Linked DNA regions of Lytechinus pictus. The protein of the gene in region 1 purifies or fractionates together with the protein of each later gene. This does not show direct contact. Links are inferred from orthologs where the notes say so. Each region holds a gene or a part of one and is shown in the gene's direction. Other genes may lie near its edges. The genes, in order: transmembrane protein 192-like, lysosomal acid phosphatase-like and lysosomal aspartic protease-like.

Region 1 (8,118 bases):
ACTGACCGTCAGTCAGTCGGCTAGCCCTCAAAATGTGGCTTCTTTTATCCAAGTGATATTCATGACGAGTGTTTTTGCATTGTTGGCTTGGTGCCAACCCAAATAAAAACTAGTTTTTAGATTAAAAAGACAAATCAGACAAATTGATAGGTGAAAGTTTGAACAATATCAGACAAACAACAAGAAAGTTATGAATTTTAAAAAGTTGTAAATATTGGTAATCACTTTACCCATGGAGACTTCAAATTGGCTGCATATGTCATAGTGATGTAAGGCAAGGACTACTCTTCGATATGTACTCCCAGTGGCGTACCGTGGGTCACGGCATGGGGGGGGGGCACCAGCAAAAATTTTGAGTCGCTCAGTGAGCGCGCAAAGCGCGCTCAATTACCAGGTATAGGCCTATTGACCTTATATAGAGACATTTTAAGGACTGTGCCATTAAACGGATATGTAATGTATCTCACTGATCAAATGATGCGAGCGCGAAGCGCGAGCTGAAAAATTTTGAAATTCATATCTAAAAAGGGTAAAAATAAGCTATTAAATAAAAATAAAAAAATACGTATCTGTCTCGCTAAACAAACAATGCAAGCGCGAAGCGCGAGCTGAAATTTTTGTATTTATTGACCCCAAACAGAGACAGTTTAAGGACTATTTTTTAGAAATCAAATAAGAGAATACATATCTCACCATACTCATCTAATTTGAGTGCCAAGCGCTTGCTGATTTTGTTAGAAAACAAGAAACACCTTTTGTAGTCGTTGTAATCATGATTAAAATACGCATCTCACTAATCAAATATTGCGAGCGCGAAGCGCGAGCTAAAAATTTAGGAAATTCAGACCTGAAGAGAAGCATTCTAAGGCTTGTTTGTAGGAATTTACGAAGACCATACGTACTTCACGTACAAAATGATGCGAGCGCGAAGCGCGAGCTGAAAATTTTGTATATATTGACCCCAAACAGGGACATTTTAAGGACTATTTCTTTTTTTTAATCCATTAAGAGTATACATATCTCACCATATAGTCATCCAATGCGAGTGCCAAGCGATTGCTGATTTTGTTAGAATCACATTCAAACACATGAAGAGCTTTTTGTAGTCATAGTAATCATGATTATCATACGTCGCATCTCAGTAGCGCAAAGTGCGAGCTAAAAATATAGGAAATTCAGATCTGAAGAGGGGCATTCTAAGGCTTGTTTGTAGGAATCTACTATGACCATACGTATTTCACTAAACAAATGATGCGAGCGCGAAGCGCGAGCTGAAATCTTTTGATATTTACATTAGAAAAAGAAACATTTTAAGGACCGATTTCAGGAATTCATGAGCAGACAAATCTCATCAATCCACTAATTCGAACGTAAGCACGAACACGAACAAGGATTTTTTTTATATACAGACCTTAAAATGGGGCTATCACTTTAAGTAGTCATGAAAAGAAGCATATGTCACTACATAAAACAATAATAACTCGAAGTGCGATGATATATATTTGGTGCATATTGACTTGAAAACAGGACGTTTTGGTACAACATGATTGTACATGTATATCTCGTTAAACAGACAATGCTAGTACCAGGAATAATGAACAAATAGGACCTGAGCACATTATGTTTCATAAAGTTATGAAAAAAAAAATTCTTATGTAATATAACACAACATATAATATAATATAACATTAAAATGTACAATAAATTCTTCTTTCCCACTACGTTTCTTTCTTCTCCCTCTTTTTCTCCCTTTTCTCCCGTTTTTTTTTTTTTTTTTTTTTTTTTTTTTTTGCCAGCCGATAGGGGGGGGCACGTGCCCCCCCATGCCCCCCCCCCCCCCGTAGTTACGCCACTGTCAGTACTCCAATACATGAAATGGCTAAAATGTATTTTTTTTCAAAAGGTTTACTTCAAATTGTATTTTTTCATGAGGACATAAAACAATATATTACCGTATATTTAGATTACTGCCCCAATTAAGGGAATGGGTACGTAGGAGAAAACCACTACAAATCCCTGATGATTAAAAGGTCAAGTCCACCCAAGAAAAAATGTTGATTTGAATAAATAGAGAAAAAGCATAACGCTGAAAATTTTATCAAATCGGATGTAAAATAAACAAATGATGACATTTTAAAATTTCGCTTACTTTTCACAAAACAGTGATATGCACAACTCAGTGACATGCAAATGAGACAGACAATAATGTCCCTCTTTCACTATTTCTATTGTTTTACATTGTTTAAATTATACAATATACAGATTTGACAATAAGGACCTGCTTGACTGAACCATACAGGGACCGCGGAACCGGGGGGGGGGGCTGGGGGGGGGGCTTCAGCCTCCCCCCCCCCCACTATTTTCCAAAACCGTGTACAAAAATGTAAAAATGACCATATGATTGTGATTTTTTGCATGGTCAGCCCCCCCCCCCCCACTTTGAAAACCGTACCGCGGCACCTGCCATAGTATTAAGCAATGCTAATTCCACATGTTCCAGGAGGAATTAATTTTGACTTAACGTCAGATCACACGTACGGATCATGTTATGATTTAAAACAAGCTTAAACTTCACTTTCTCTGATCTGAGCAATTTTCATCACGCACTTCGTGCTCTATGAATTATTATTATCATTATCATTAATATTTTTATTATAATTATCATCATTATTGTTATCATCATCATCATCAATCATCATCAATCATCCATCATCATCATGGGCGGATCAAGCTCCCATAAGGCATGATAGGGGGGGCGAATTTTTTTAACCCATATTCTTCCCGATCGGCCGCTAAAAGTTGATTTTTGTTTGTTTCTGTGAATGGGTTGTCCCGGTGGCGTAATGAGCCAAAAATGGGGAGTGGGCTCGATACGGCGTATCGCGTAAAATTATTAAGAAGTTGCGAGCGAGCAAAAACTTTGACATTTTTATTACAAAAATCAAAGTTTGTGATAAATTTTGACATAACATTAGCAAAATAATAGGCCTATATTTTACCCTTTTATCCCTTTCCTTTTCTCTTATTATTATTTTTTTTTTGGGGGGGGGGGCAAAACGCCGTTGTCTTAACAGTTATTTCTTAGCTTTATTCTTATAAAACAGTGTAATAATCTCATTAGCCCTATTTAAATAGTGCGAGCTGAAATTTTTTGGAATTTCATGTATTTGGTCCTGAAAATTGAATATTCTGGGCAATGTTTGTGAACCTGTAACTAGATAATAACTGCGAGCGCGAAGCGCGAGCAGGACATTTTAAAATGGGTTCTGGCTTGATCTGAAAGGGACCTATTAAGGACGTTTTGCAGTCAGCCATGAAGACGATACATATTTCAACTATTGAATAATGCCAGCGCGAAGCGCGAGCTGAATTTTTTTTGACATTCCGACCTAAAAAATTGACATTCTAAGCACTTTTTGTAATCATTAACGGTATAGATATAAAACCAAAGAATTGATGCGAGCACGAAGCGCGAACAGAAAAAGAAATGAGATTTCAGACTTAAGAATGGGACACTCTATTCATGTTTTGTAAATCATGAAAAAGGATGGGTAATTTGGTATCTTTCTACATTAATATTGCGAGCGCAAAGCGCAAGCAGAAAATTTTTGATATTCTGATCTGAAACTTTGATAATTTTAGAGTACATGTAACTTAATTTTAGATAATTATAATTTTAATCTAAAGCACTGTGTAGGGGAATTGTGAAGAGGATGTGGGTAGCACTTAATAAATGATGCGAGTGCGAAGCGCAAGCTGATATTATTATTTTGACCTATATAGGACCTGGACATTCAAGGCCTAAGGACATTTTGTCATCATAATATGATGACTATCTTCCTATTCCTCTTCCTAAGCGCGATATGAAACTTGTCGATATTCCTTTCTAAAAAGGGACAATTTAGTTATTAGGAATTCATGAAAATTTTATTATCATATTTATTAATGTAATAAGCCTAATGAGTGAGTGAAATCTGTTGACATTTAGGCTTGAAAACTGGATATTTCAAGCACTTTTGTAATCATGAATAGGGCTCTTAAGAATTGTTATATTTTCAACAATAATGCTATAGCGCAAATCGCGAGACGAAATTTTTGATAAACTGTCATAAAAGGGGGATTTTAAGTAGTCTGTTACAGAATTGAGAATCTTATGGAATAAACAAAGACAATATGTAAGCCTACTTGGCAAATCAAATAATGCGAGTGCACAATATAAAAAGCTGCAAATTATATTCACACAATAAAACGGACATTTTAAAAAGCACTTAAAAAATCAATTAGTAAATCAAACAAAATAATGAAAGCTCGATGTCCGAGCTGGAATTGTATATTGACTTCAAAACTTGATATTTTAAGCTACATATCAGCCTATTGAGCAAGACATGTATTTCATCGAACAGGCTATGCGAGCGCGAAGCACGAGCAAAAATTTGATATAGTGACATGATATATATTTTTTAATAATTTTCCAAGTCTTCCTCTGACCTTATTTTATTCACTCGTCTCCCTATTATTTTCTTCCTTTCTTTCCCCTACTTTTTCTTTATTTTCTTTCGTTCCCCCTTTTTTTCATGTTTTGCTCCGCCAATAGGGGGGGGGGGCGAGCCCCTCGGGCTCCCCTGGATCCGCCTATGATCATCATTACCATCATCATCCCCATGCACCAAAAGTCATAGTGTTTTTGTTTAACTTTTATTTATTTATTTATTTAGATATATTTATTTATTTATCTATTCATTTATTTATTATTATATTTTTTTTTTTCATTAGTAGAATCATTTTTGTGGGGAGGGGCCACATTTTTAATGTAAAATGAAATTGAAGACCTTTTTTTTTTTTTTTTTTTGCTTGTCAAATTTTTCTGGTACGAAATATCCTTTATTTGTGGTTGAAAACCTTGTTTTGGAGGGCTTGTCAAAAATTTCCTCCGAAAAATTTGCCCCCCTTGGAAAATCCTGGATCCGCCCCTGAATCAAGGGGGAATCACTCTAATCACCACCCCCCCCCCCCCCCCCCCCCCCCATCCGAGTGAAGATAGCTAGATCATGTGACATGCTAGAGTCAGGTGACCCCGGTCAGATATACGTCATTCTTCGACTTCGAGATTGTAAATGGGAGTCGGAAATTGAAAACAAATCTCACATAATTTCAGTTTTATAGTTATTACTAAAATGGTTAGCTTGGACCATGACAGTACAAGGCAAGGGGTGAGTGTGTACAGAGAAACAATTTTTCATGCTGTTAATTGCATGAATCGATGAACTCAGTCTTTACTAGCCTAGAATTCGAAGCCTGCAAAAATGTTTTGGTCATGTGCCCCGCACGTCCATTTTTATGTATCCTTATTTTGTGTACGAAGGGGCGGCATGTCGGCGCACCTGAAAAACGCTAAAGATTTAACTGGCGATTAAACATGAATTCCTCTTTAGTCCACAAAAAAATCACGTGATAATGTTCCTTATATTCTTATGAGTAAATGTGCCAAAAATCTCATTGAAAATGAGAGAAATAGGCCTGCACTGTATGATTTTCTTGGAAAAAACCTTGGCCAGTCATTTCAGATAACAGAAAATGTTGCCTCATCAATGTCTGCGCACCCATTCACTTTACACTATGCAGACATGGCCATTGGGGACCTTACCATATATGAAGTTTTACCATATTAATCATAAAAGAGGGCCTTCTACAAGTTCTATGCATTTAACTTGGCTTTACCTTTAAAAAATCAGTTTTGGTTCTTAATTTTCAAGTGATTTACCTTTGCAAAACCACTCGCACTACATTATTACATACTAACAAACTAACGATCTCGAATGTTGCAAAATGGAATTCTTGTAATTATTTTTGGCTTTCTGTGACATGCATGAATTTTGTATGGCTATGTGTAATGTGAAAAACAGGATTTCTATTTTCCTTTTCTATGTAATAGAAGATTTTGAAACAGAATTACAGGTTTTCAGAAACAGAACAGACCATTTTTTTAATGACGGATCCATTCAATTCATGTTTGAACTGTTATATATCCGGTGTGTTGGCTCAGTTGGTAGAGCGTCAGTCTCACAACCGGGAGGTCGGGGGTTCAAACCCTGGCTGTGTCAGACCAAAAGACGTTAAAAGATGGGAGTTGCTGCTACCCTGCTTGGCGTTCAACGATAGAGCCTCGTCGATTTGGCGCTGCACAGCGACTGCATGCTGGGCCCACGATCAATTGGGCAAAGCAAATATTAGGAGTATTTCATTTCATGTCTATTTCGAATGATAAAATATGGATTTTCATTTTCATATCCAGGGCTTTTTCTTTGATGGTGAAGGTGGTAACCCTTCAGCTGATTTCCAGAATGATGACGAGGAACTGATTCCAAGTAATGGCCTGGCATCGGAAGAAGCCCCAAAGTTTCGCCCAATCAGAGCAGTTTGGGCGGCTGTCCTTCAGATAATCATCCTTGTAAGTCAATGATTTATCCACCTTAGATTATGTTGTTTGTTGTTTATTTATTTATTCATTGATTTATTAATTACTTATTACCTATTTACTTCTTTTCATTTATGTACAGTTGAGGCCAAAAGTTTACATACACCCATGGAATTCAGTGAAATTTGTTTGCTTGCCAAACATCGTAAAATTTACTATATCTTCAGAAATATAAATACTACCATGCAAAATTTGGTATTAGATGAAAAAGCGTATTAAGCTCTTTCACATGATTTGGATGGCATTGGGATCAAAGTATATTACAGGTGGAATTTTCTTTGAAGAAAAAAAATAATATTCGTGCCAATTGTATTCTATTGTTTGTTATTATATTTTCAAACATCGTTTCATTTATATATAAATGTCAAATAAATGATTTATACTACATTTTCTATCATGATATGTCACCACTGAACAAAAAGAGCAATCTGATATGTTTGTGTTGAGAAGTAACTAGCACAAATATGAAATGTTTTTGTCGAGTTTTTATTTTGAATTTGTCTAAAATAGGAAGATTTTTTGGAGAAAAATAACACCTAAATATGTTTCAGCTCTTCATGATAAAGCAATGTGATGAAGGGGCATGACTACTCATTTGTTTTATATTGAATTCGTCATAATAGCACAAATATTTTATAAGATACAGTAAATTTTATGATGTTTGGCAAGTGTCAACTTTTCTTTAAATTTCCTGGGTGTATGTATGTATGTAAACTTCTGGCCTCAACTGTATTTATTTATCTATCTATCTATCTTTAGATTCATTTTTTTAATTCATTTATTTATATACTTATTTATGTATCTATTTATGTAATTATTTATTTATTGGGTATTGAAAGATCTTTTCCTTAATATTGTATTAATTAGCAATCAATATCTAGCCTACTGTAAGTTGAGATAATTAATCATGTAATATTTATTATACATGGTGTGTTTTTATATTTTTTATACATATAAAATATAAAACAATATCAATAGTGAGAGCATTTGTATTGTGCTGTTTATATTTTGTCAGTTTGTGAGTACATGATTCCTGGAATATATTAATGAGGTTAACTTAGATGTGTCATAAAAAAAAGAATTAGATTTTACATGTTATCTTCTTCATAAATCTTTTAATATTATTAATTATATCATCACCTACATGGGCGGAAATGTCTCCCAAAGGTAGGGGGACCAGGGGCTGGAAACTTTGACAAGCAAAAAAAGGTTATCACCAAAAATGTAAGGTCATTTTAACCAACAAATTTAAACGAGCAAAAAAAAAATGTTTTCACCAAAAATGAATGGTAATTTCGTCATTTAGTCCAAAATATATATGTATTATTTCGATTGCGAATGATGTATTTTTCTCCATCATTACAAAAAAGAATAGTAGGGGGGACACTTGATATTGTGTCCCCCTACGATTTTGAGTAGGGGGGATGCGTCCCCCCTGGGATTTCCGTCCATGATCACCTATAGTCTTATCTCTCATAATGCATTGGTGACACATTTGCTCAGACTGCAACATTTGTTGTGGTCTTAATAGGGCATAGGGTTATAGTTTGGATTGTAATAGAGTTTTTGGTTCAGAATAATGTCAAGATAAGGATCAGAGTTTATTTAGTTTTGAAGGTTAGGTTTTATGTTTGGCTTAGCGT
Region 2 (7,736 bases), on another chromosome or scaffold:
GAACCCATGTTATATTTTTTTATATTTGAAATATCCAGGTGCTAAAGTAACTCTGTGCAAAATTTTGTGAAAATGATATGGATTTCATTTTAAGTGTGAAACGTCCTTATGTAGTAGGCAAGATGAATGAAATTATGGGTATATAGGCCTAATAGGTATATGAGACGAAATGGTCATTACACTGAACTAAAATAAGTCATCACGAACCATTAAAAAATTGAAATTAATGCATTATATTACATAACATGTGGGGCAGCTGCTCGTTTATGACGTCACAAATCCAAAAGTTGAAATTCTAATAACTTTATTAATTTTTAAATATATTATGGTCATCTTTATCAAATCTTTACCAATATTTTTTATTATTTTTCTGTAATTTTTAAAACAAACTTATCTCCAGGGTGAACTTCCCCTTTAAAATATCCCTGTATGTCCTATACTTGTTTGGGGGGTCAACTCAAGGAATATAGGGCCTAATTGTCAAAGGTGCATTTTCAGAATATGGAAAATACTTGTTAAAGGACAAGTCCACTCCAACAGAAAGTTGATTTGAATAAAAAGAGAAAAATCCAACATGTATAACACTGAAAATTTCATCAAAATCGGATGTAAAATAAAAAAGTTATGACATTTTAAAGTTTTGCTTAATTTCACAAAACAGTTATGTGCACATCCTGGTCTGTATGCAAATGAGGAGACTGATGACGTCATCCACTCACTTTTTCTCTTGTATTTTATTATATGAAATATGAAATATTCTAATTTTCTCCTCATTGCAACAACGATTAATTCCTCCCTGAACACGTGGAATTAGCATTGTTTAATACTATATGGTTCAGTCAAGTTGGTCCTTATTGTCAAATTTGTAAAAAATTAAATATTGTATAATTCAAACAATAAAAAACAAAAGAAATAGTGAGTGAGGGACATCATCGACTATCTCATTTGCATGTTACTCAGTTGTGCATATCACTGTTTTGTGAAACATAAGTGGAACTTAAAAATGTCATAACTTTCTTATTTTACATCCGATTTTGATGAAATTTTCAGTGTTGTGCTAGTTTGATTTTTCTCTATTTATTCAAATCAACATTTCTCTGGGGTGGACTTGACCTTTATTAAGGATGCTTATCGAAACTCCATGGCCGCGCCTGGTATCTACTAGTCAATGGAAGTGGTCCCCCGCATAGGCGGATCCAGGGGGGCCCGATCCCCCTATTGGCGGAGCAAAAAAAAAAGCGAGGGAAGAAAGAAAATTGAAAAAGAAGGGAAAAAAGGGGGAAACATAAGAGGAGGAAAACGAGTGAATAAAATAAGATGAGGGGAAGACTTGGAAAATAATTTTACAAAATCTTTCATGGCACTATATAAAATTTTCGCTCGCGCTTCGCGCTCGCATTGTTTAGGTGATTTACATGTCTTGCTCAATAGGGAACTATTTTGAAGTCAATATACAAAACACATTTCAGCTCAGAAATCGAACTTTCATTATTTTGTTCGATTTACAAATTAATTTTTTTAAAGTGCTCTGTAAAAATTTATGTTATGTTTTCTGAATATTAACATTTTCTGTTTGTGCTGCGCGCTCGCAAAATTTGATTTGTCAGGTATACCTATTATTTTCCTGTATTTCATAAAGTTCTCAAAATATCCCTATTCAGGTCAGAGTGTCAAAACGTATCAGCTAGCGTTGTACGCTGGCATATTGATTGGTGCGTTATGCGTATCTCAATATTAATTCTTTAACAAGCTATACTAAAAATCCCCATTTCATGACAGTTTATCAAAAATTTCGGCTCGCGATTTGCACTCGCATTATTGTTGAAAATATTAACTCATGCATCTTATTCATAATTACAAAGTGCTTTAAATGTCCAGTTTTCAGGCCAGAACATATTTCGTGCTTTCATTAGGCTTATTAGATTAATTAACTAATTTAATAATCAAATTGTCCCTTTTTTAAGAATGGAATATCGACACGTTTCATCTCGCGCTTAGGAAGCGAAATATGAAGATAGTCATAATTTCCTTATGATGACATAATGTTCTTAGTATGTCCCGGCCCTATGTCAAAACTCAAAGTATTAATAATGAAACATAATATCACCTCTTTTTTAACTGTGATCCACATCCACCTCACACTTTTCCTACAAAGTGCTTGAAATACAGAGCTTAAATTGACCCTTTTTCAGATATATAGGAATATAAAATATTTTAAGCTCGTGCTTCGCGCTCGATTTATTGATTTTTATGATAAAAAAGGTATTCAGAATGCCCAGATTCTAGGCGAAATCTGAAACGCGCGCTCATGTTTATTCAGATACGCAGCTTGTTCTCTATTTAATCATCCAGTTTGAGATCACCATTTAAAAAAAATTCTGCTAGCGCTTTGCGCTGGCATTATTAATGTAGGAAGATTTCCCAATTACTCATCCTTTTCGTGATTTACAAAACATGAAAAGAGTGTCCCATTTTTAGGTGTAAATCTCGAATTTTTCCGCTCGCATCAATTGTTTAATTAGTTATGATCTTTTTCACGATTACAAAAAGTGCTTAGAATTTCCATTCTTCAGGTAGAAATGTCAAAATTTTCAGCTCGCGCTTCGCGCTCGCATTATTTGACTGTTGAAATATGTAATGTCTTCATGGCTAACTGCAAGCAGCCGTTAACAGATTCTTTTTTTATCAGAATAATAATATAAATTTCTTATTATTTAGTTGGATACACAATCATCCCGTTTAGGATCACATACATTGCCCAGAATGTTTAAATTTTAGAACAAAATACATGAAATTGCTCGCGCTCGCACTATTCAAATAAAACTTATTATATAGGCCCTATATATATTTATGTTGATTTTTAAGAATAAAGCTTACAATTAAAGGGATGGTCCAGGCTGAAAGTTTTTATAGCTTAATAAATAGAGTAGAATTCACTGAGCAAAATGCCGAAAATTTCATCAAAATCGGATAACAAATAACAAACTTATTGAATTTTAAAGTTTAGCAATATTTTGTGAAAACAGTCGTCGTGAATATTCATTAGGTGGGCTGATGATGTCACATCCCCACTTGTTCTTTTGTATTTAATTATATGAAATTAGGTTTATTCAATTTTTTTCCTCCAAGAACTAGACAAATTGGATTGACAACTGATTTAGTGCATTAGATATTTATTGCTGCAACTTATTTCATTATAAGGGAGACATATTATTCACACAAGTATGAAATAATGAAGAAAAAAAAGACTTTATGTAATAACATAAGAAAACTGAAAGTTGGGATGTGACATTATCAGCCCACCCAGGCAGGGAAGTGTTATAAACACTTCCCTGGCCCACCTAATGAATATTCATGACAACTGTTTTCACCAAATATTGCTTAACTTTAAACTTCAATAACTTTATTGTTTTTAATCCGATTTTGATGAAATTTTCAGCAGTTTGCTCAGTGAATTCTACTCTATGTATTAAAGGGGAATCCAACCCAAAGAAAAACTTGTTTTTATAAGAAAAAGAAAAATCAGACAAGTTGATAGGTGAAAGTTTGAACAATATTGGACAAACAACAAGAAAGTTATGAATTTTTAAAATATATAAATATTGGTAATCACTATACTCATGGAGACTTCAAATTGGCCGCATATGGGATGTCATAGTGATGTAAGGCAAGGACTACTCTTCCATGTACTCCAATACATATTATGGCTAAATTGTCATTTTTCCCCAAAGTTTTATTTCAAATTATATTTTTCTTTCATGAGGACATTAAACAATATACTACCTGGGTTATATTTAGATTACTGCCCCAGGGGAATGGGTACTTGGGAGAAAACCACAAATCCCTGATAATAAAGTACATGGCCTATGGGAAAGTTGTCCTTGCCCCTTGTCATAATTTACTTACCCAGTTGCCAATTTGAAATCTACATTCTGTTAGTGATCTCAATTTTAAAGCAGCTATAACTTTCTTATTGCTTGTCCGATTTCTTTCAAACTTTCACCATTCTGTTTAATTTATTTTTCTCCTTCCCAACACAACATTTTATGGCCAAGGCTGGATTCCCCTTTAAGATATAAATATTTTCAGCCAGGACCATCCCTTTAAGTGACTATATAGATCTAAAGCCTCTAGCACTAGAGGTCTACCCCTTCAAACAAACAAATATCAACTTAGCTTCGAGCGGCCGATCGGGGGAAATGTGGCTGAAAAAATTCCGCCGTCACCCCCCCCCCCCTATTGGCGAAGGCTGGATCCGCCCCTGCCCCGGGTTTCTTTCACTTTACACGTTCCGTGCCCGGTTTCCATGGGGGGGGGGGGGGGGGGTGGGGGTCGGTGGCATCTAAACCGTACCCCGGGAGCATCACATGACTTCATCTACAATCAGTCGATCAATCTTCCATTCTTGTCAACAAAAAACAGTGTTCCGGTCCGATCGGCTCACGGAAAAGAAGGAAAAATGTCGTTCTTAAGCTCTATCCATTTTATCTCTTTGGCAATTTTCATTGTGATAAGTGGTGCTATGTCAGAGAGTACCTTACGTCTCGTAAATGTGGTAAGATTTCTTTATTTATGTATCGAATAAAACTGAAGTTGAAAACTTTAACTTAGTCCCATGCGTTTAAAATGGATGCTTGTTTCACTTTCAGTTTTCACCTTTGGCTTTGACTTTGTGCCTCGTTTTATCTTCATCCAGCATAACTTGTTAGTTCTTATTTTTTCATGGCAATCACTTACTACTACTACGGTTTATATTATTACTGTATTATCATTCTTTTGTTATGTTATCATATGTCATGCCTCATGGCAAATGGTTTGAATTGTAGGTTATAAAATTAAAAATGAGCATGAAACTTATAATATTAGGACTTAATGACAGCTCGATGACAATTAATCTTAGTACCCGGGGGGGGGGGGGGCCACTTCCATTCACGAGTGGATACCATGCGCGACCATGGGGTCTCGAAAAGCACCCTTAACACGTAATTTCCATACTCTGAAAATGCACCCCTTAACAAGTATTGGCGTGTGAAACCCTACCCTTAACAAGTATTGGAAACAAAACGATACTCTTGGCAAGTATTCCCTGAAATGAACCCCTAAACAAGTAGAGGAATGTTTTATTGTTACGGGTCCTTCGGTCGTCGGCTTTACCTTATTTGGTTTAGTACGACCCCACCTTCTACACCTCGCGCAAATCGGACTCTAAACACGAAGTGTTGGGGCAAAATGGACATCCTTTATAAAACATTTTAATTTTGTTTCATCATTCCCGCAAATTCGACCCTAAACACGTAATTTTCCTAGCGAAATAGACACCCTTTTTTTCATTATTTTTGTGTTTTTGACACCCTTATCACGTTACGTACGTAACGTGCCCTATCGTGAAAAGGACATCCTTTTTACGTGTTTTTTTGGTCGCGCATGGTATCCACTCGTCAATGTAAGTGGCCCCCCCGGGTCTTAGTACTCATTCACATCAATCTATATTTTGAGAAATTCCCAGTTTCTTCCTTTCTTGATGAATCCCCATAAATACTTTAAAAAATCATTAAAATATCACTTTTGTGACCAAAATTACTAATTTTCATACAGTTGCAATTTATTTTTCATTAGTAACTTGGGAATAATTTTTGTATTCACCAGAGCCTCTGCCAGCGCTCAAAAACTTGATTTTGGGGCATATTTTTGTGTATGCCCTGTATTGGTGGAAAGTAATATGGCAAGACAATTTTCATTTTTTGATCTCTATTTTTAATTAAGAAAAAAATAATTTAAAGAATCAAATTTACTTAAGAATAAGAGCCAAGTTGAATGACGAATAGGTGTAATGGAAACTGTCAGTGTAAAAAAAAAATCAAGCATTTGTCCCAAAGAAAAAGAGAAAATAAGCCAAACATTGCCACCCTTATTTTGTCACACATGGAGATATAACTGAGCTGAGGACAAGGTTATATCATAACCTTGTTCATTGAATGAGTGGATTTATCCTTTTTCATTTCCCCACCTTTTTAAATGGATCGATCTATGATTTGTGTCATGCAAACTTAAACATGCATATTGTCTTGAAAAGTTCATTATCATCACATCAGATTGAAATATGAATATGATGAAAGAATGTTTTCTAAAGTAATCAATATTTTATTCATGTAGATAAAAAAAAAATCATGTTTTTTATAGAAATTAAAATTAGACTAAAAAATTATGAAATAGTTTTTCTTTGAAACATGCATAATTGATTAACTGAATAATTTAACTAATAAGGTAATGTAAAGCAAAAAAAAAACCTTTTCATATTGAAAAAAGTGTACAATTTGTCATTGAAAAGGTAAATTAGGATGTCATAATCTAGTAATAGATCCTTGCATGAACAAATTCAACCCCACTCATTCAATGAACAAGGTTATAATATAACCTTATTCTCTGTTACTACTACTAGTACTACTCCCTGTGTGGCAAAGTAAAGGTTGGCAATGTTTAGTTAATTTTCCACAGTGGCAAATTGTATAGAACGGATAGGGGAGAGTTCAATGCTAGCGGGCGTGTACATTTTACTTATTACACGACGTCATCCAGCCACTGCTACGAGCCATTTTATGAATGAAAATATAGTGTTGTGTTGTCTTCGGTTCAATATTGCACTTTTGCTTTCAACCAGACTTAAATGAGACGAACCAATGCAAGATGTAGAGTTCATATATTTTTATTAAAGATGATAACTTGATGATGATGATGACAAATACATGTACATTCATGAGTAAGTCTGATGGTGACTATACTCTGAAGATGAAGATATTATAAATGCTGCAAACTGATGTAGTATACTTTTCTGTAGACAGGAATAACCGTAATTTCTGGGGATTTCCTTAACAATTTCTGACATTTCCCTATAATCCCCATTCACCGACGGTAGTTCGTTATGTGAGCTCGCATGTGTTATCACTTCCGCCAATTCGCCGATTAACTGTCCAGACTTTAATATTCTTTTTTAATTCGAATTTACAGTCTAAGGATTTAGAAACTACCCAACTACTATCTTGAATATATGGTTACACTTCGTAATTCCGAAGGTTCTTTATTCCGAAGGTTCGTAATTCCGAAACAAAAAAATTGCCTATACCTCGATGTTCGTTAATCCGAAAACGTAAAAGGGTTCGTTAATCCGAACATTTGTGGCGTTATTCCGAAGGTTCGTTATTCCGAAGGTTCGATAATCCGAAAACGAAATAAGGTTCGATATTCCGAAGGTTCGTTAGTCCGAAAACAAAATAAGGTCATTGTTCCGAAGGTTCGTTAGTCCGGAAACGAAATAAGGTTCGTTAATCATCACGTTTTCGGACTAACGAACCTTCGGAATTACGAACCTTCGAAATACGAACCTTTGGAATAACGAACCTTCGGAATATCCGAACCTTCGGAATAACGAAGCTTCGGAATTACGAAATGTATGTGGAATATATAACAAATAACGACATATGCAAAAATCGATCAAAAGGTATGAAAATGGTACTTTACCGATGTTTTCTTGTCCCGTCTTGGTCTCGAGAATCACCCCCAAAATGGCAGCCAAAATATGAAATATTTAGCAACAAACGGAGAGGGCATCACCAATTTACGAATGTGATATCGATATTGCTTTCAATATTATACGATCTGCTCCATATGCGAGCTAAACCACTACAATCACAGGTAGCAGGCGACATTCGATATATCGAGACATTGAAAAGTTAATAAGG
Region 3 (8,377 bases), on another chromosome or scaffold:
TTATAGAATACGGGTAGTCGTGGGCTTAAATCAAAGTTCCCCTGAGCTATCCTCCCAGAGGAGATATTTTTCTGCCTCATCAATGCTTCCGAGGGAGGATAGCTCTGAGGAGCTTTGATTTAAGCTACGCGTACCATTATTCTCTTAACCTATTTTTCACAATATATTATATTACACAAATGTGAAGAGGAAAGACCTAAACATTGCGTGGGTGCTTTTGTGACGTATAATTTGAAAGGATGCTAATAAGGGAAGAAATCTTAAGGCATGATAGACTGGCCTGGGTTTCTTCAAATTTTATAATAAGCTTTCGGAATTTGGGTCTTCTTCTTCTGCAGATGTATGATAGAAAAAATGGTTATAACGTACAAACAAATTCTTCATGTGAGCCATATTATCAAATACACATACAAAAAAAAAAAAAAAAATACGTTTACATATTTATATGTTAAGATTCTTACACGTAATATGCAATATATTTTTATGATTACCCTCAGTGGCATACCTTGGGTCATGACATTGGGGGCATCAGCAAAAATTTTGAGTTACTTAGTGGGCGCGCGAAGCGCGGTCAATAGCCGAATATACTGACCTAATAGAGCCATTTTAAGGACTGTGCCATTAAACGGATATGTTTGTCACTGATCAAATAACGCGAGCGCGAGCAGAAAATTGTTGATATTCAGACCTAAAAAAAAAAAAACAATGTGAGCGCGAAGAGCGAGCATAAATTTTTGTATATATTGCCCCCAAACATTTAGGGACATTTTAAGGAGTATTTTTTTTAAAGAATTCATGAAGAGCATACATATCTCACCATAGTCATCTAACATTTGTCTAATGCTAGCGCCAAGCGCTTGCTGATTTTCTTTTTTTTTTTAGAATTCCGCCTAAGCACATAAAGCACTTTATGTAGTTTCATGAAATGTATCTCACTAATCAAATATTGCAAGCGCGAAGTGCGAGCTGAATTTTTTTTTTGAAATTCAGACCTGAAGAGGGGCATTTTAATTATACCATACATATTTCACTTACCAAATGATACGCGCGTAAAGCGGGAGCTGAATTTTTTTTATATTCAGGCCATAAGAGGGGACATTTTAAGGACTGTTTCAAGGAATTCATGAAAAGCAGACATATTTCACCAATCCACTAATGCGAATGACAGCACGGACTGGAAATGTTTTATATTCAGACCTTAAAAGTGGGCAATCACTTTAAGTAGTCATGAAAAAGATCGAAGCATATGTCACTACATAAAATAATAAAAACTCGAAGTGCGAGGAAATATATTTGGTTTATATTGACTTAAAACGTTTGAGTATCATTTAATCCCCTTGAACAGGATCATTTATTTCATTAAACAGACAATGCGATCCAAGGATTGATGAACACATAGCCCCTAAGCAAATTAGGTTTCATAAAGTTGATTTTTAATGTAATATAATATGATATATATAATATAGTATAAAGTAATATGATATAATACACAATAAGGCAGTTTTTCTTCCCCCACTACGTTTCTCTTTTTATCTTTCTTCTCCCTCTTTTTCTCCTTTTCCTCCGTTGTTTTTTTTTTGGGGGGGCAGCCGATTGGGGGGAGCGTGCCGCCCCCCCCCCCGCAGTTACGCCATTGATTACCATCTTTAATGATTTGATTTAATATCATATAATAATTGAATATAACAATAGTGATTAGATATATTTCCAGATCTTTTTTATTTCCATATTGGCACGCTCAAGTCAAAAGCTGTATTCTCCCCTCTTTCCCTTTTCATTAACTTTGTTTTAATACAAACTCATTATACCAGTGAAGAGCTATCTAAATGATTGGATGGTGGACATAATTGGATTTAAAGTTTGGACTTGCATCTGATATGAGATTAGATGCTGTTGAATATTTTTAGATTTTATTCTTCTGATGCACAATTCCAAATTATTTTAATCAAGAACAACAATGATTAGATAAATAAAAAAGTTACGTCTTCTCACCTCTTGGTTCTTCATTTATAGACAATGCTTCAGTGAAATTAACGTTTCCCGCGAAAAACACCAAACACACGATGGATACGAGACTGAAAAACATGTTAAACATGAAAGCAATCGAATGAAATGACTGATAATCAATCAAACGTCAGATGAGAACGATGTCAAATCGATCACTTCGTACCAGCATTTTGATAATTAGACGACATGGAGGCCAGCCTTGGTTCAAGTACTCGGCTTATCATCAAAGTGGAAACCTGAAGGATAGGCGCTTTTATGGCAAATATATACGGCCATGGCAGAGAAAGATTCACTGTGACGCCCTTTTAAACTGCACAGAAAATGAAATAACGTCCGGTCATTTCCTATTGGACGAAAATTTTACGTGTAATCCTGAATTCAATTATCATGAAGCGAATGTATGAGTTGCCGTTCATGGCTAAATAATGAAGATGTCAATGCGAACAGGTTGAATTAACCAATGACATTGGATAGCTGCAAGCATTTTCCCCACTCCGACAATTTCCCCGGATTAGACCAAAATTTGCTCTATCTTTTCCCGGGGAGGGGGAGGCAGTCAAATACATTGCTGTACAAACGCGCGACCAAAAAAAACGCGGTTAAGGGTATCAAAAACACCGATTTTCAATATAGGGTGGTTTTGAAAGACTGGTCAATGGTCACTTGCGGGGTCAAACCGTAACGTATTTTGGGTATTTTTTTTTTCTAAAGCTTTTTTTTTCTAAGACTGGCCAAACGTGTTTAGGGTATGTTTTTTCCCTCAAGCTTTTTCCCCGGGGCTTTTTCCTCCTCGTTTCTGAAAAGTGCTCAGGTTCTTCCTGATTGTGGTATTTTAACCCTTACTGCACTGGGGGGGGGGGGGGGGAGGGGGGGGTATGCAATACCCATGAATATAGTCTTGTCTATATTTAAATATATTGTTAGCAAGAAGACAAACCTTGTTTGGGGGGTCATATTCTGGCGACAACTTGTTTAGGGGCCAAAATGTGTTAATGAAGCTCGCGAAAAACTTGTTTAGGGGGTTATTTTGCACCGGCAGAGAAAAACTCGTTTAGGGGGTGTTTGGAAATAATTTGGCCACCCGTGTGTACAGTAAGACATTTGGCAAGCCCCCGGGTATCATTTATCGTGCCTATATATTTTGTTTGAATGCCTATATTCACCAACACATATTAGTTATTGTTTATGTAGTACAAATTCATAGTACGGCAAGGAGATGCCATAAACATGATGATCGCTGATGTGGTTTACGGTACACCATGTGGAGTGTTATAGAAACAGTGGATAGAAGAAGAGAAGAAATGGATAGGCGAGAAAGTGGAGATTTGAGAGTAGAGTATTCTTTCTTGAAAGTCGTCCTGAAAAGGACTCTAAACCAGGAAAGATTGATGAGTTGAGAACAGCTTGAGTAGTAGAGCTAATGAGGAGATGCTGGCTTGAGTCGGCGAGTAGAGATGATGAGTAGTAGAGAGACTCGACGTTTCGGACAGCTTAGTCAAGCTGTCCGAAACGTCGAGTCTCTCTACTAAAAAAATAGTTTTCTTGTTTATCTGTTTTTACTTTTTAATATATTTTTAGCCAAATGGAAATGTTATTTCTGATTCCGTATGTCTAGTTTTTTTTCACGATCCAAAACTTAAAGCAAGTTTTGAATACTGCAAATTGGAAATAAGCTAACACAAAATAAATCTAGTTATAATAGTAGTAAGGTTGCATGGGACTTTACCTGACAGCATTCAGAGGGCCCAACGAGATTTCTTTTGGTGTGGGGTGCTTATCATGAGGAAAAACTATCTTGGAACCATACATTGATCATGACGATAATGATAAAATCGTTGCTCGACACAAGCAGGCTGGCATCAGGTTTAGCAAAGCGAGACACTTCCTACCCACTAAACTAAACCACTAGTTATTTTCACCTTATATTAAAACAGACTTATTCTTGTTAGCACTAGCGTACCTAAGGGGGGGCAGACTGCCCCCCCCCCTGACGAGTCACAACTCATGCAGGGGACGTATCCCTGCCCCCTGACAAGTCACAACTGATACAGGGGACGTGCCCCCCCCCCTTTATCTGTTTTTACTTTTTAATATATTTTTAGCCAAATGGAAATGTTATTTCTGATTTCGTATGTCTAGTTTTTTTTCACGATCCAAAACTTAAAGCAAGTTTTGAATACTGCAAATTGGAAATAAGCTAACACAAAATAAATCTAGTTATATTAGTAATAAGGTTGCATGGGACTTTACCTGACAGCATTCAGAGGGCCCAACGAGATTTCTTTTGGTGTGGGGTGCTTATCATGAGGAAAAACTATCTTGGAACCATACATTGATCATGACGATAATGATAAAATCGTTGCTCGACACAAGCAGGCTGGCATCAGGTTTAGCAAAGCGAGACACTTCCTACCCACTAAACTAAACCACTAGTTATTTTCACCTTATATTAAAACAGACTTATTCTTGTTAGCACTAGCGTACCTAAGGGGGGGCAGACTGCCCCCCCCCCCCCCTGACGAGTCACAACTCATGCAGGGGACGTATCCCTGCCCCCTGACAAGTCACAACTGATACATGGGACGTGCCCCCCCCCCCCCCTTTGAGAAGCCAAATCAATAATTTGTAATGTAAAACTGCAATAAAAACAGACGTGTACCCCCTCATTTGAACCTGAAGACCTTTTTTTTTTTTTTTCCTTGTCAATTTTTTTGTGGTAAGAAATCCTTTTGTGTTTTGGTTGAAGACCTTTTTTTTTTTTTTTTTGCTTGTCAATTTTGTTTGTGGTAAGAAATCCTTTATTTGTGGTTGAAGACCTCTTTTCTTTTTGCTAGTCAAATTTTTTCGCGGACGAAATATCCTCCTAAAAATTTGCCCCCCTTCTGGAAAATCCTAGGTACGCCAGTGCTTGTTAGTAAAAATTAAGATAAAAAATATTTTAACTTAAGTCTTAAGAATTCCCCCCACCCCCCCCCCCCCCTCCTCCTCCGAGGAACCAATCAGGTTGATCGTTCTTTCTTATTCCGAGTCCCTCTTTTGGACAGTGGTGGGATATGACCCTGGTTGTCATTCATATCAGAGGTGGATAAAATAAACATCCACCTCTATGATTTATAGCGTACCAATCTACAACAAAAGAATCACGTGACAGTTCGCGCGGTCATGTGATTTAAATGTCTTCCGCAATTCTGTTGAGAGAAAATCAATAGAGGTCGCGTACAATGCAATCTATAGCACTGATGAATCACATGATGCGTCCCGTGACTCGACCCGACTTGTACCTGCTCTCCGATCTCCCATGTATTCTGCTTCTTATTTGCATTTAAATCCAAGAAAAGTCAAGTCCCCAACCAAACTCTTCCTCCTGAAAAAGGAATGTGAAGGCAGCTCTGTATTCTAGAGGGGTTTGATCTGGAATTTCACATCTAACAAGTTACAGCAAGGCTAAGGGAGAATGAAGACGTTTTTCGCAACAGCACTGCTGCTGCTGCTGGCAGTTGCAGCAAACGCGCAGCTTATTAGGTGAGTGACTTTAAAACAACTCACCACAAATAATCGTAAGCCAAAATGTCTAAATAAGTACAGTCATCTAATCCAAGCAGTCCTGTCAAAAAATGTATCGAGCCGAAACTATCTTAGGCAAAAATTAGACAGGAAAAAATATATATTTCTTTCATAAGAAAATTAAGAGTTTGAAACATTTTTCTTTAAAAAAAAGGTTAGGCCTATTTTTTTTTTCATTGACATGGCATAGGAACCAGTTTGAGTAAGTTAAACCCTAACAAGCTACTTAAATCTCTTCCTTAAACTGTTAACATTAGATGGAAGAAACCAATGGAGCCAGACTTAGTGTCAGCATAACACTGGACTCTGGAGATTAAGATTTTATTGTCTTGTCAAATCAATACATCTGATTTATTCTTTAAGGTCTCATCTGTTGGTCAAACTGTTCCAGCATTGCAGCAGTTTGCTGTAGTGTTGGATACACAAGAACATTAATTTTCTTGAAATTGAGACAATTCATGACTATCTTTATTATAATGCAAGTATTTTTTCTGATGATCTGTAGATGGAACTTTGAATTGTGGATTGTGAATCAAACCAAATGTTCCCTTATTTTCATGTAAATGTGTATGAAATTCTTAACATGTTTTTTTATATTTTTACCTGAATATGTAGGCCTTTTTTATTATTTTAATGATTGCATTGGCTTATATTTATCATGATTTATATGATGACAAGTTAACATCAATACAAATTCTAATCTTTATTTATTTCTCAGGGTACCACTGAAGAAGATGGAATCTGTACGTCATCAAATGGCCAACACAGGACTACCCTTTAAAGATTTGGCTCAACTTTCCAACAAGTACAACATGATGAACACCAACAAACTTGGCACACCATGGCCAGTAAACATGAGCGACTATCTTGATGTGAGCCCAAGAACAACACCTCATATTTTATTAGGAACAGAAATTCAAAGTTTTTTTTTTTACATGTATATTTTTCATAAAAGAAGAGGCAAGAAACAGCAAACTTATTATCTTGAATCAAAACAATAAAATTACTTTTCACATGTCTATTCCAATAATACTGTATGACAATTTTGTGCATTAAAATATGATGGAAGATTCAGATTTTTACTGTGCTCCTGATGAGTGGTCTTCTTTTATTTTATAAGTATATTTGTGTGTTTATGTCAACTTGCATTTAACATTTTTTTGTGTTCAATTTCATAAGTTTTTGGTTATACTTCTCAAAACCTGTCTGCTCCAGCATCTTTGGCATACAGAATGGGAGGGGGGAGGTCTCTTGTCCCCCCCCCCCCCCCCCCCCCCCGGAGTGGTGACATTGTCTGTATGGACGTTCCAAAGGCACTGTCACTGCCATCCCTGTGTATCTGCATTCTGTCTGTTTATAGGTGTTTTTTAACTTTTCTCACCACAGATCTGCATATTTGAGATGGTGTGATGGCTAACCATTTTAATTTTATTTATTTATTTTTTCATTTTGCAGGCCCAGTACTATGGAGAAATCTCTCTTGGCACACCTCGCCAGAATTTTACTGTAGTCTTTGACACTGGCAGTGCTGATCTCTGGGTACCATCTGTCAAGTGTGGTTTCCTTGACGTTGCCTGTCGTAAGCTTGCTTGTTATATTTCAACCCTATTAGTCCTGGGATATTTTAGTCTTTTAATTCCAAAGCAGTGATGATATTCCTCCAATGTCAATCCAGATTCTGATTTATAATTTTTTTTCCAGCAAGATGTCAGATTTTTCTCATTCATTTTTTCCTTAGTTTTTAAGATGATAATTTTCTTTTGAAAAATAAGTGTACTGGTACGCAGTCATTTAGCACCTGATTATCCAGTATTTATAAACATAGTTCTATGACATGTACTGTATACACACATGTTGTATAGATGTGTGCATACGCAGTATTTTTCAAATGAAAGGGGGGTTTTCAAGCTGAATGAAAAAAATTTTGACACCCCCAACAAAAAAAGGTCTTCACCCATATTTTTAAGTCATTTGGTAACCCCCCCCCAAAAAAAAAAAATGACAAGCAAGCAAAAAAAAGGTCTTCAACCTTATTTTAGGGGGGTTGGGTATAAAAAAATCAAAGGGGGGGGGTTGAACACCTGTAACCCCCCTCCACCTTGCGTACGCCACTGATGTGCACATTCATGCACACATACAGGTTTTAAAAGTAAAAATTATATTTACATTTCCCTAACTTGCAGGCTTTCATCACAAGTACGACAGCTCCAAATCATCAACTTATGTTGCTAATGGAACAAAATGGTCTCTACAGTATGGATCGGGTGCTTGCTCTGGATTCGTCAGTGAGGATACAATACAGGTGAGTTATATTTGATGGTAATGAACTTGATGATGTGGGGATGGATGGGAGGGGATGTCAGAACAAAAGGGGAGGAAAAGAAAGTGGATCTAACAAAGGAGGAAGAAGATGAGAAGGCCTAGATTGCAAAATGAAGGCGGATAAGTTAAAGGGGAGGATGACAGAGGAGAAAATTTAAAAAAAGAACATGCAATGTTTGAATTTTTCTGTAAAAGGGTCTTTGATCGTAATTGAGTATCAGAAAACTACAGACCAAGTTTATTTCCTAGAATTATGACGTCAGCAACAAGCTTCATCTCTAATACGTTTGCCTATTTTATGGATTCTATTTACGGATAATAAGTCAAATATACACATAAATGTGTTTGGTAGTATATTATAGTTTCAAAATACGATTTGATGAGTAATTTTACATCATTATCTACATTTTCCAAATTGGCTAATTAGCTATAACTTGCCAATTTGGAAATCGTAGGTATGGGTGTAAAATCAAAACTCATCGAA

Evidence for each region.
Region 2: the proteins of transmembrane protein 192-like (region 1) and lysosomal acid phosphatase-like purify together in Homo sapiens (affinity purification with mass spectrometry; 3 studies listed by BioGRID and IntAct, with this or other methods). This does not show direct contact. The link is inferred for Lytechinus pictus from reciprocal best matches to the Homo sapiens genes TMEM192 and ACP2.
Region 3: the proteins of transmembrane protein 192-like (region 1) and lysosomal aspartic protease-like purify together in Homo sapiens (affinity purification with western blotting; 3 studies listed by BioGRID, with this or other methods). This does not show direct contact. The link is inferred for Lytechinus pictus from reciprocal best matches to the Homo sapiens genes TMEM192 and CTSD.

What each region holds. Positions count from the first base shown.
Region 1 is NC_087252.1:4,499,462-4,507,579, forward strand, and holds the start of transmembrane protein 192-like, read left to right. Parts: upstream 1-5,066; 5' UTR 5,067-5,174; coding exon 5,175-5,210; intron 5,211-6,292; coding exon 6,293-6,448; intron 6,449-8,118.
Region 2 is NC_087263.1:5,269,725-5,277,460, reverse strand, and holds the start of lysosomal acid phosphatase-like, read left to right. Parts: upstream 1-4,355; 5' UTR 4,356-4,459; coding exon 4,460-4,555; intron 4,556-7,736.
Region 3 is NC_087246.1:13,756,709-13,765,085, forward strand, and holds the start of lysosomal aspartic protease-like, read left to right. Parts: upstream 1-5,153; 5' UTR 5,154-5,461; coding exon 5,462-5,529; intron 5,530-6,289; coding exon 6,290-6,443; intron 6,444-7,026; coding exon 7,027-7,150; intron 7,151-7,754; coding exon 7,755-7,873; intron 7,874-8,377. UniProt on the Homo sapiens protein: Acid protease active in intracellular protein breakdown. Plays a role in APP processing following cleavage and activation by ADAM30 which leads to APP degradation.